3 linked regions of the Drosophila melanogaster genome follow. The protein of the gene in region 1 interacts with the protein of each later gene in a pairwise test. Each region holds a gene or a part of one and is shown in the gene's direction. Other genes may lie near its edges.

Evidence for each region.
Region 2: the proteins of CG2278 (region 1) and CG6276 interact in a two-hybrid assay, tested with the Drosophila melanogaster proteins (one large-scale study listed by BioGRID).
Region 3: the proteins of CG2278 (region 1) and Frq1 interact in a two-hybrid assay, tested with the Drosophila melanogaster proteins (one large-scale study listed by BioGRID).

What each region holds. Positions count from the first base shown.
Region 1 is NC_004354.4:8,168,521-8,172,274, reverse strand, and holds the start of CG2278 (uncharacterized protein), read left to right. Parts: upstream 1-2,008; 5' UTR 2,009-2,378; coding exon 2,379-2,785; intron 2,786-2,854; coding exon 2,855-3,309; intron 3,310-3,380; coding exon 3,381-3,754. Other genes in the region: slpr (slipper), read left to right, coding at 1-693.
Region 2 is NT_033777.3:15,318,328-15,322,081, reverse strand, and holds the start of CG6276 (uncharacterized protein), read left to right. Parts: upstream 1-2,012; 5' UTR 2,013-2,168; coding exon 2,169-2,255; intron 2,256-2,316; coding exon 2,317-3,642; 3' UTR 3,643-3,754. Other genes in the region: ear (ENL/AF9-related), read right to left, coding at 1-406, 478-664; CG44040 (uncharacterized protein), read right to left, coding at 1,475-1,657.
Region 3 is NC_004354.4:18,153,322-18,157,075, forward strand, and holds the start of Frq1 (frequenin 1), read left to right. Parts: upstream 1-2,047; 5' UTR 2,048-2,411; intron 2,412-3,754. UniProt on the Drosophila melanogaster protein: Ca(2+)-dependent modulation of synaptic efficacy. Also plays a role in axon terminal morphology.

The sequences.
Region 1 (3,754 bases):
TGTCAAGTGCCCGCCAGTCAGATGCGCCAGAACTCCACCACGTCGCGCAAGAGTTCAGTGACCTTCCAGAGCGTCAGTTTCGAAGAGCCCGATTTTGTGGCCACGCCGCGAACGACTGCCAGATCGGATCTATATACATCCAGTGCCTCAATTAGCTTCGCCACCTACCGCTCCGCCTCGCCATCGCTGTCCTCATCGTCCACCACTGCGTCCGCCTCACCGTCCATTGCTTCTACGGAAGCCGTGAACGGCTATCACATGCAGGAGAACTCCATACTGAATACGCGTCGGATGCAAGATGTTCAGCCGCATCCCGATGTCATTAAGCTGCGGGCCCAGGAACAGCGCCAGCAGACCAAGAACCAAAAGAAGCAACGGCCCAAGCACATAACCAAATCCAAGTCTGTTGAGGCGCCAGTCGAGGGACAGCACCATGAACATGATGACCACAATGATCCCCAGCACCAGCATCACTCGGCTGGATCGAGCAAAATCCGTGCCCTTTTCAATCTCTTTACGCGCTCGCGAAAGAAGTACAGCAAGCTGGCGGAGCACAACATGGTCGGTGGACCCGAGTTCTGTGCCATTGATCCCTATCAAACCGATTTGGCGATGGGGGGCAGCAGTCGCTCTTTGAAGCGCAAAGGCAAAAAGCCGCAGACGCAATCCTGCGAGCAACTGGAGCGATGCTAAAGTCCCAGTTGTGCGCCGTGCTGCAGTGTTGCTGTTGGAGTTGGCCGCCAGATGAGAACCGCCTAATTAGCTCATTGTTTTATATTAAAACTGTAGACTAAGTCAGACGCAAAGGAAGAGCGAAGAGATGAAACAGCAGGCGAGGATTAGCCATAGCTAATGTGTGAAATTAGTAGGGCCCAGAGATACAGATACCTATCCGAATTCTTTCCGTCTAACGAAATCATAGAACTAAACAAAAAACCCCTCTGTCCGCGGTTGGCATTTCATAATAACCGAATTGTTCCTAACGAATGCAATATGTTGTGCGAAATTCACAAATCAAGTTAATCCCTAATTAGTCCAGTGATTTGTTTTGTTTTTTTTTTTGTGCCAGAGGAGTGGCTAGAAAATTGCAATGTGTAGCACAGAAGTGAGGACGAACTTTTGAGGATCAAACGGATAGATAGACTAACGCCGCTTGTACGTAGACAAACAGACACGGAGAGAAAAAACGTGTGCATGGGCCAATGGCAAAATATATTGAACTAAACCATATACATAAATGTGTAACAATTGGATTAACATTAAGCTATATTTATACCGATGCGTAAGTGCGTCCTTACACATTACACATTACACACATCTTAGTTGAACTAAGTTCTAGTTTTGTAGGAACTCGAACATTTTTTTGGAGTCCTTCCTCCTTTTTTTTCACCCCCTCAATCTTTGTAAGAGATATTTTCCAAAATTTCCATCGCTTGCGGCATTTCGTTTGGCTTAAGTACACTTAACGAAAAGTTGCGGTGCACATTAATTTTAATTTGATATTCGACTTTTTTGGTATTTTGAGCACAGTTTTATTTACATACATTTATTATGCAATCGGGTTTTCCATTTTATTTATTTATGATTTATTTCTACAAAAAAAAAAAAAAAAAAGCACAAGAATAATCGCGCAAAAGAAAGAAAGAAAAAAAAACCTGTGATCAAAAAACGATGATGAAACGAAAAGGAAATGATCATTTTTTTGTATTATTTTTATGAAAACTTTCAATTGTATATTTATACTTCATTTTACGATTTGTTCATTCTACGTTTAGTGCTCGATTCTATTTCAATGTACTTTGTATATTATTGTATTTTCCATGTTGGGGCCAAGCCAACCCCAAAAAAAAAAACAAACAAAAAAAAAAGAAGAACCAATACCCAGAAACAGAAATCCGACAATAAAACCAACTTAAGACAATCTGCCGACCAGTTTTGATTGCCTCGCAGCTAAAAAGCACAGAGAAAGTCCAATGATCCAAACTAACATTTAAATTACTTAAACTTATTTAAAGTGAAGCTATCTTTTAATGTCAATTTAACGTGAAAATGACTGAATGAAGAATGGATTTTCTCTGTGCATGAGCACAATCCACAATTTTGGACAGAGAGAGAGAGAGAGAGATTAACCTATTAATATAGGACGAACAGAGTCTCCTTGGTATGCGGTGGTTAAACTTTGGTGTTGCCTGCGGTTACTATCCAACTACTCTTGTACCCCCCGCCTCCGACTATCCGATTACCACCCGACTACCGACCATATCCCAGCCATCGTTCCCCCAAGCCAGTACCAACCATATGCCGTAACTCAATCATGTCTCATATCCGCCTTGGAATGCTGCCGATCGGACCGACCAGGCTACCAGGGCAATAGCAAGATGGATAACTGGCGTCCGGGTGCCACCAACATGCCGATTATGTCGCCATCGCCATATCTCCTCAGCCGCTTCACCAGCAACGTGCCACTGCCGACACTCTATGCCGGCGATTCGGCGCGCAAGCCGAAGCTTTCCGTGATCGAACTGTTGCTGTACAACATGGCATCCCTGCTGGCCGGAGTGGCGGCCGGATATGATGTTCGCATGTCGAACGTGTCGCCAGTGCATCCGACTTTGCTCAGCGAAGTGCCAGCTCTGAAGGCGGCACCAAAGGCAGCGATTACCGGAACGGAAGAGGTGGTGGAGGATTCACTGCCGGAACAGATCCTGGAACTGGAAGTAAATGTGCCACTGAAGCAGCAGGAGCTCAGGGAAAGCACGCCACGTAAGATAGTCACACAAGCAAGGTAAGTGCTAAATGAATCCGAAAGAGCGCGAATTCTTTATACACTATATACTCTATTCCTGCCCCCCAGATTTGGTGGCATTGAAGCTCCGGTCAGCAAATCGCAGCCCACATCTCTGGCCCGGCGCATCGGAGGCAGTCAGCCGTACTACACACCTGTGCAGCGGACACCACAGCATCAGTTGCACCATCACCACCAGCAGCAACAGCAACAGCAGCAGCACCATCATCATCATCCTCACCAGCCACAGCCAGTTCCATCGGCCGTGGTGACAACAGTAGCGCCATCACAGCCGCCAGCCGTGGTGAGTGCACTGTATGCCGGAACCCAGCCACCGACGCCATCGCCACGGCGTAAGCTGAGCAACAGCAGCTTTGGCAATGCCAATCCTCAAGCGGATGTCTTCGAGGAGTTTCGTGTGGGCGGTGGCATTGGTCCACCGCCACTTTATGCGCCAGCCGATTACCTGAGAAACGGACCCAGTTACTCCAACGATGGGGGAAACTACCGAAATGGTTACTTCGGTGAGTGGGCAAGCCATTAGACATTCGAGGAGAATCCTCCAATTTAAAATATACTAATTGCCCGTTGATAGGTTCCAATTACTTTCCATACCGGCCGGAGTTGAACTACAGCTACGAGCGTGACTGTAAATCGTATCCGGACTATTCCTACGACTATAACCATCGCCTGCCGGACTACTATGACTACCAGTATGAGGCGCCACCAGTGGTGCCGCTGCCCGTGACCGTTCCCTGTCCGGTGAGCCAGACCCGTACACCACCACCGCGGGTGCCACAGATGGGCGTAAGTGCGGCCGGACACCGACGCACTCCCTCAACCGTTTCGAACAATTCGAATGTACTGCTGGAGCACGAAGAGCTGCTGTGCTATGACTACAACAATCTCAATCTGAATGCGGAGTACGAGAGGGAATGCGAGCGGGAACGAGAGCTTGACCAGGTGCCG
Region 2 (3,754 bases), on another chromosome or scaffold:
TCGCTGCGCGACTTGTGTTTCTTGCCGGTGTTTAAATCCGAGTTCATGGATATTGTACCTGGTACGCCTTTGGCTTTGACACCAGACATCTCATTACTGTGCGCTGTCTCACCGCTGCCAACACTGGGCGAAAGCGTTCGGGCGAGACTGCCGGCACCGATGTTAGCTCCGAACACTGGCACTCCACCGCCTCGCATAAGTTTCGTGCGAAACTCCTCCGACGGCGCCTCGAAAATGTGCGTCTTTACCTCGACGTGGTGCTGCGGTGGACCCGTGGACTGCAGTACCAGGTCGTACTGGTAAACAATGCGCTTGGGTTCGTCTCGGTTGCGAAAGTAAATCTCAACAGGCAGTAGGAAGCCAGCGTAGCCGGACTCCTGAATGGCATACGGCGGTTCCTTGACCACTGCAAATAAACAATTCGGGTAACAGAGTTAATCCGACTGAACTACTCCCATGATATATCGCCGCATTTACCTCGTTTGGGTTTCGGAAAGGATTCGTGCAGCACAAAGACCACCTTCTCCACAAAAGCACTGATGTCCGCCTTGTTCACGCCCTGAACGTAGATCTCCCAGTCGTGCGTAAAGGCCTGCGGATGCGGTGTCTTCTTGCTGCGCAGCTTCGACGTGTGGCCAATTTCGAATTGCACCTTGACCGCCATGCCTGTGGGTAGGGCATCAAGTTCCAGTGATTGCCTGCAATTAAGTGGTGAATTAAGATGCTACGTATTAGCGCGCCAAAACCAATGCAACTCGAGTGTGCAAGCACTTAAGCTTGATGCGACGTAAACAAATGATCGCCAGTTATGTGGAAAGGCCCAATGGATTGCCAAACGAGGTGTTAGCCAAGTATTGCGCTCCTTGCTTTCGCTTCAGTGTGCATGCGTGATTTCTAATGCGAATCCTGTGGCAGGTCACGTCCTCCAAGTCTGCGCCTGGCTTTGGAAACCTTTCAATCGGTCTCAGGATGCCCGCACTAGCTACCACATTTTGAATATCCTTTGATAACCGACGTTTTTTGTTATGATTCGCTTTGCGTTCAATTTGTTATTGTTTGTGAGCGAATGTGTGCCACAATGTGGACTTTTCATGTTGCAAGCTTTCGCCGTGTTTGTGGTTTCCTTTAGCCACATGCCCCCACCAGCCACGCTTTATACTTACTATCGCGCCGTGCGGCATTCACATGGAGATGCGCACAATTTTCAGAAAAAACGTAAAAGCTTGGAGCCAGAATCGAAGTAAATTTTGGAAAAACACAGAAAATAAAATCCAAAATGGTAAAGTGTGACCAAAGTTCGGGGCACCAAAAAATACACTTGAGTCGGGTAAAATATACTAGAATATGCGTTGCGTTTACTTTTTCTAGGGTGGCTCGTGAAATTAGTTTTAAATATGTACATATATCTAGTTTAAATTCATTCAGATTTTTAACTCGATGCATTTTTTAAAGAATAGAGTGCTTTATTTGTTTCTTAGTAGAAAAAGTATAGTTTCTTGCCACATGGTCCTTGGGGCCCATTTCCGCACGGAACTGGGGATGGTGCCGCCGAAGTGGTTGAAGTATCAGAGGAGGCTTCCGTCGTGGTTGTCGAGGTGGAGGATGCAGCGAATCCAACGATGGCGCACAGAAGGAACAGAATGGCGAAGAACTTCATCTTGATTACTCTTTTGTGACTGTGATATTTTCCCGGGGATAGTTGCTCAATTTTATACCTTTCATTTTTAGATTTGCAAATATTGACACAAATGCTTCAATTCCGCCTATGTACCAAATATCAAGAGAAAAGAAACAATTCGGCAAACACTGCGTGGTACTTAAATAATGTGTTTTGTGTTTGTTTAGAAATAGCAACACATGGAATTTCGCTTTTTGCCACTTACAGGTTAAGCTTTTAAGCATAGCACGCGGATTCAGACAAGATGATATATATATGGGAAATTTTTATATTGCATGATCATTGTTTTTAAGGAACCCGCATAAACCAAAATAGTCAGCAAAAGCTTCTGTGATCCGGAACCAGTTCGGCCGCCTGTTTGGTTCACAGCACTTAAAAGAACACTTGGGAAAAACAATAAAAATATTTCGCAAAAGTTATGGCGAACGCTGGATAAGTCAGCCAAAAATTGAATCCATCGGAGCGACTGCCTTGGAGCCACAGCCCACCCATGATGACGACCGACTTCGCGGGCAGCCAGTTCGTGTCCAGCAATCCCAACACCAGCTGTAGTGCATCCCGCTGGCTAACGGAGGAGGTATTTGCATGGATATGCAATTTGAAAATGATTTGATTCACATATTTCTGTTGTTCTGTAGGTCTTTAAACTAATCGAAATTGTGCAGCGCGACGAGGCCATCTACAATCCGAGGCACAAATACTACTTTTGCCGCCCGTACGTGGAGAACTTTTGGCGCGAGGTGGATTTGAAGCTGGAAAAGAATCCGGGCGCCAGTCTGGCCAAGTGGACCAATTTGCGCATCTCGTTCCGACGAGAGTACACCAACTATCTGGAGGAAAAGGTGCCACCCTGCTGGTCCTACTTCGACCGCATGTTCTTTCTGCATCCGTATCTACGCAAGAAGCACCAGCAGCCCAAATCGCTGGACACACAGGTGCAGGACGCCCTGGCACACCTCTCGAACCTTTCTAGTCGTATGCAGCGTGAGCGTTCAGTGACCATTCCGGGCAGCAGCAGTATTGGTGGCCAGCCCACGCCCTCCGCCCACCAGTCACCACCTGCACAGCAGCTGGACAACTATCTGGACTACTTTGACGAGGCGGAACACAACAACTCCGAGCTGGATGACATCATGGAGGAGGAGCAGCAGCGCAACAGTCGTTACCACGGCCAGTTGGACGGCAACGACATTAAGTCGGAGTGCGAGGAGCCGGTGGATGACTACGAACAAGAGGCGCACGAGCCCGAGGAGGATGAACAGGATGACCAGGACCTACACAAGATGGCGCCTACTTCTAGCTCTTCATCGGCGGAGGCCCAGCGTCGTTATGCCAACCAGCATTCACACGCCAGCCGAATGCTTCCGGGTCGCCTCCAAATGCGCACCTACCATGACGAGATGCGTGGCGCTATTCGTCCGCGTTCCCAGGAACTCCAAGCTCCAACTGCAGCAGTGGCCGGGGTCAACTACTCCGCACAGCCGACTGCCCATCCAAACATTTCGTTTGTGCGACCTACTTTCAGCAAGCCCGTGGATTTGGTTAGCACTACAACGCACGCCGGAGGCGGAGGAGGAGGAGGTGTTCCAGGAACTGCTGGCTTATCCGAAGCGGAACTGCCCACACCATCCACTGCGGCCGTGGCCACCCCGATGGCGCCCAGTAGTAGTGTTAGTGCCAGCAGTAGCAGTAGCTACTTGAGTCAACGGCATGGGCACAACCATATGCATGGAGGACATCCACAGGTGCCGCCGTCAGCGCTTCCTCTGCGTTTGGAAGCCAACAACGCGTCCGGCGGATCCGTGTCCAACGGCGGTGCGGAGCTGTGCGACTGCAAGACCGATCCGGATGCCATGTTTCTGATGAGCCTGCTGCCCGACATCCAAAAGCTGAACGGCCGTGATCGCGGCAAGATAAAGATAGCCTTCCAGAACATCCTGCAGGACTACCTGTATCCGGATTAGCGTTGATCTCTGTGTATACCTTCCGCTTAACGCAAACGGAACCCAGTTCCAGTATCGATTTTGTTTAATATTCTCTTTTGTATTTTCGTTGGAGAAAAAAAAAGAATCCTTT
Region 3 (3,754 bases), about 10 Mb from region 1:
CCGCACTGTGCGCACATAGCAAAATGTAAATTTTCAGCCAGCAACTAGCGCTTTTCGTACCGGCAAAATGCCCACCCACTTGGATGTGGTTTCACTGGCCCCTCCCTGTCCGTCCACATTGGGGCGCCTTGAAGCCCCAACCCCAACTCCAAAACCCCACCCCCCACCCACCACCATACCACCTCTACTTGTCTTTGTCTTTCTGTGTGTTTTCAGGGGGGGTTACGTCATTGAGGGACACGCAATGGCAAATGTTTGTATTTTTATTATTATCGTGTTATGCCATGTATTTGTTTGTTTGTTCGTTTGTTGGATTGCCGGATTGTTACTCAGCCACGTCATAGCGTAGGGATCCTTAAAAAAAAAGAAGAAAATTTAGGAGGGGGGGGGGTCGGATGTCTGGGGGGAGAAGGACTCGTTCTGGAGGTGCGCCCGTCGCTCGTACGCACTTTCCCCCGCCTCTAGGATTTCGCGTATCTAGCGCTCTGGTGATAAAGTTTTTCCCCGTCAACTGCTGCTGCTACACAGAGCGAAAAAAGGCGAAGTATTCGTAGAATTGGAAAGAATGTTCAAACCGTTGAGAATTTTATATTGTTGCAAGTTCGCTGAAAATTATCATAATTTTATATAAGTATTTTCAAGTATATTGCCATTAAAGATCTTATATATATGTATATATTTGCATACATATTTTCTAACACAAAAACACACACGAAGTAAAAGCAAACACAAATCCGTCTGATTCAAAAAAAAAAAAAAAACTATCTCTTTTTAATTGCAACTGAAAAACATTGGGAATTGCCTTGGATTGTGATAAATCGACCATTTCCATCTGAATGAATAAACACAGCATTTTTTAATGGTAAATGTGGGTCGTAAACTACAAAATACACTTCGTTTTATTAGCATTTTCGAATTTATTAATCGACCTATTCGAATTAACCTTAAAACGTTTAAATATTTATGTATTTAAGCTAATAATGAAAGGGAGATGAAAATATGATGAAAAGCTAATTTTATCGCAGAATTTAATAAAATGCAACTTCGGTTTTGGGATAATCTGCTCAAGTTTCTTTTACTTGTGGTTAATTGCAATACAATACAATAACTTTTATTTTTTTGTTTGTTATATTGTTATTTACTTTTATTAAATTGAACAATTAAGCCAATAAACAAAAGGCAACCCAACGATGATGGTAAACTTCAATAAATAAAAGTTAACTAAACTAAATTTAAGACTAAATGTTGGAAAATGTTTTCGATTGTAGGAAAATCGTCGCTTTCCATTGGGCCGTACTGTTATTTTCGCTGTGTGCTGCAAAGTGGGGGGAAATTTATCGCTAACTGCTTGGCTGATTGTCCCAGTTCTTGTTCGACTTTTCCCAGCTCTTTGGCGATTTGGGCTCTTATCTAAGACCATTGCCAGCTTCTGGTAATTGTCGATGGCTCCCGCTGCAGAACTGGTGTCCACGGGTTTGCCATTTTCGCTTCCATGGAGTTCAATATTCACGAGGGGTCCCCGTTTTTGGCCCATTTTTGCGCTGGCTTTTCGGTTTTCCTCCTCTTACATTTCTTTTTTTTTTTTTGGTCCTCCGCAGCTGCTAAACTCTTCGAGTTTTTTTGTTGTAAGTTCTTGCAGCTTTTAACACGCACACAGAGGCGCCTCAACACGCACACAACGAGACGCGTGAGAAGAGAGCGGGAGAGCGAGCGTGTGAGTGGGTGAGTGTGGTGAAAAGCTTCGGTGCCTGCGCCTTCGTCATCGTTTCGAGTGGTGAGTTCACTGAAATGCCTGCATATGTGTGCGTTATATAAGTCAGTTATGAGTCGCGAGTACCGTAGTGTGTTAAGCGAAGTGATGGCAGAAAGGGGGCGGTAGAAGGGGTGCCCAACTCGAACTCACCACGACCCATTGAGAATGTTACCAAAAAAGTTCTCAGTTGTTGATAGCGCACACACATATAGCCAGCCGTTTGGCCGTACTGCCGCACATTCCGCCGTATTCCATATTCCGTATTCCGTTCGCCGTGGAGCGTGCAGAGCGCTTTCAGTCGCTGATTTGACCGCCAAACAAACGCAACGCAGCTCGGCAGGTTTTTAAGTTTACAATCAAATCGCTGGTTCGCAACGACAACAACAAAAGGACAAAGCGCGCTCTCCGGTCCACGGAAATCGACAACAACTACAGCAACGGCAACAACAACATTAGCCGCCAGTGGCAGCAACAAACAACCAACAATAACAACAAAATAAAGCCATTACCTAAATAGTTGGTTTGTTTTCCTTTTTTTTCCAAGTTCCAATCCTGCAAAATAGTTGACATTTTTTTTTCGGTTAAATAATACGAACGTCAAGCAAACAAAGCAAAAATAATAAATTATAAAAACGAAACAAATACGACAAACAAAAAAGTAAGCAAAAGTGCGAAAATTAAATGAAAACATTAGTTGTGCCGCAGAACAAAAAAACAAAAAACAAAAAGAAACAATCAACAAAGGGATCAAGTGTTTATTTATATTTGTGTAGCATACTTTTGTGCGGCAGCCAAAGATTAATTTACACAAAAGGGATCCGCACACGCACACACCCACGCACACACACACACACACCCGCAGGCAGACAGGGAAAGAGATAGCTTGAGAGGCGAAAGAGAGGGCAAGACGAAGGTTACTTTCGCATTTATGCATATGGGATGCCTTCGGTTTGGTTGGGGTTTTTAGTTTTGGTTTCGGTTTTGGTTCTGCCATTCGTTATGCTTACAAAACTTGACCCAAATTTACGTTTTGCGGTCCAGCAGCTGCCGCTAAATAAAAAAAAAAATATATATATATATAAAATAAACGCGGGGGCGGTGAGGCGGGGCGAAAGGGGATTGGGCAGCGAGACAACGTGGAAGGATTATGTAAACAAAAATAAGTTTCCCAGCCCAGCGAACTTGTGTCGCGACGCTTAGACTTAACCTCCAAGGACTCAGTTTTCTCATTTTTCACTTGGGGGGCAGGCACCTCAAAATCCCCAGCCCCTCAACCTCTTCCATTCCCCTCTAACATCCATCAATGGCCGCAATCATCCGCACACAATCCGTCCGTAATCACAAATGCAGTCCCCAACTCTCACCTTGCGTGTCATTTCCTCGTTTCTTTTTTCGTCCCCCAATCCTTTTCCATTTTTTTTTTTTTTGCGAGTGACAAAATAAAGGGAGAGAACAAATCGAAACACGGCGCTACAAAATGCATTTTAATTTGCATCAATTATTTGTTAATTGGCCATGGGCAAAACGTCCGCACAAATTCCGGAATTGGCACGAAAATAGCTGCAATAGCCGAATTGAGGACGGATCTTATCCGTCCGCCTCGCTCATTTGCAACCAAATTGGCCAATCTGTCCGGGCTTAATAGATGCAATCTGCCGCCATTTGATGATCTGCTAACTGGGATATTTGATACCGCAAGATGTGGCCACTAAATGCCCAGTTATGCTATTTCAAACGTTTATTCAATTATATTCAATTATAGTAAGCCATTTTAAAGTGATGTTACTCTTTAAGATATTCCTCATAAATAGACTTCAAGATCCTTTAAAGTTTAAAGGTTTTAACTGCTTTTATCGTGTTTAAATATGTGTCCTTACATTTCTTTGGGGTTTCACAAAACTCGATGTTTTTGAAACACAAATATTTTCATTTTAATGTGCTTGTATTTGTTATTGTCTTTTTGAAATATTTAAAAAAGATTTATTTGGCCATAAATTTATA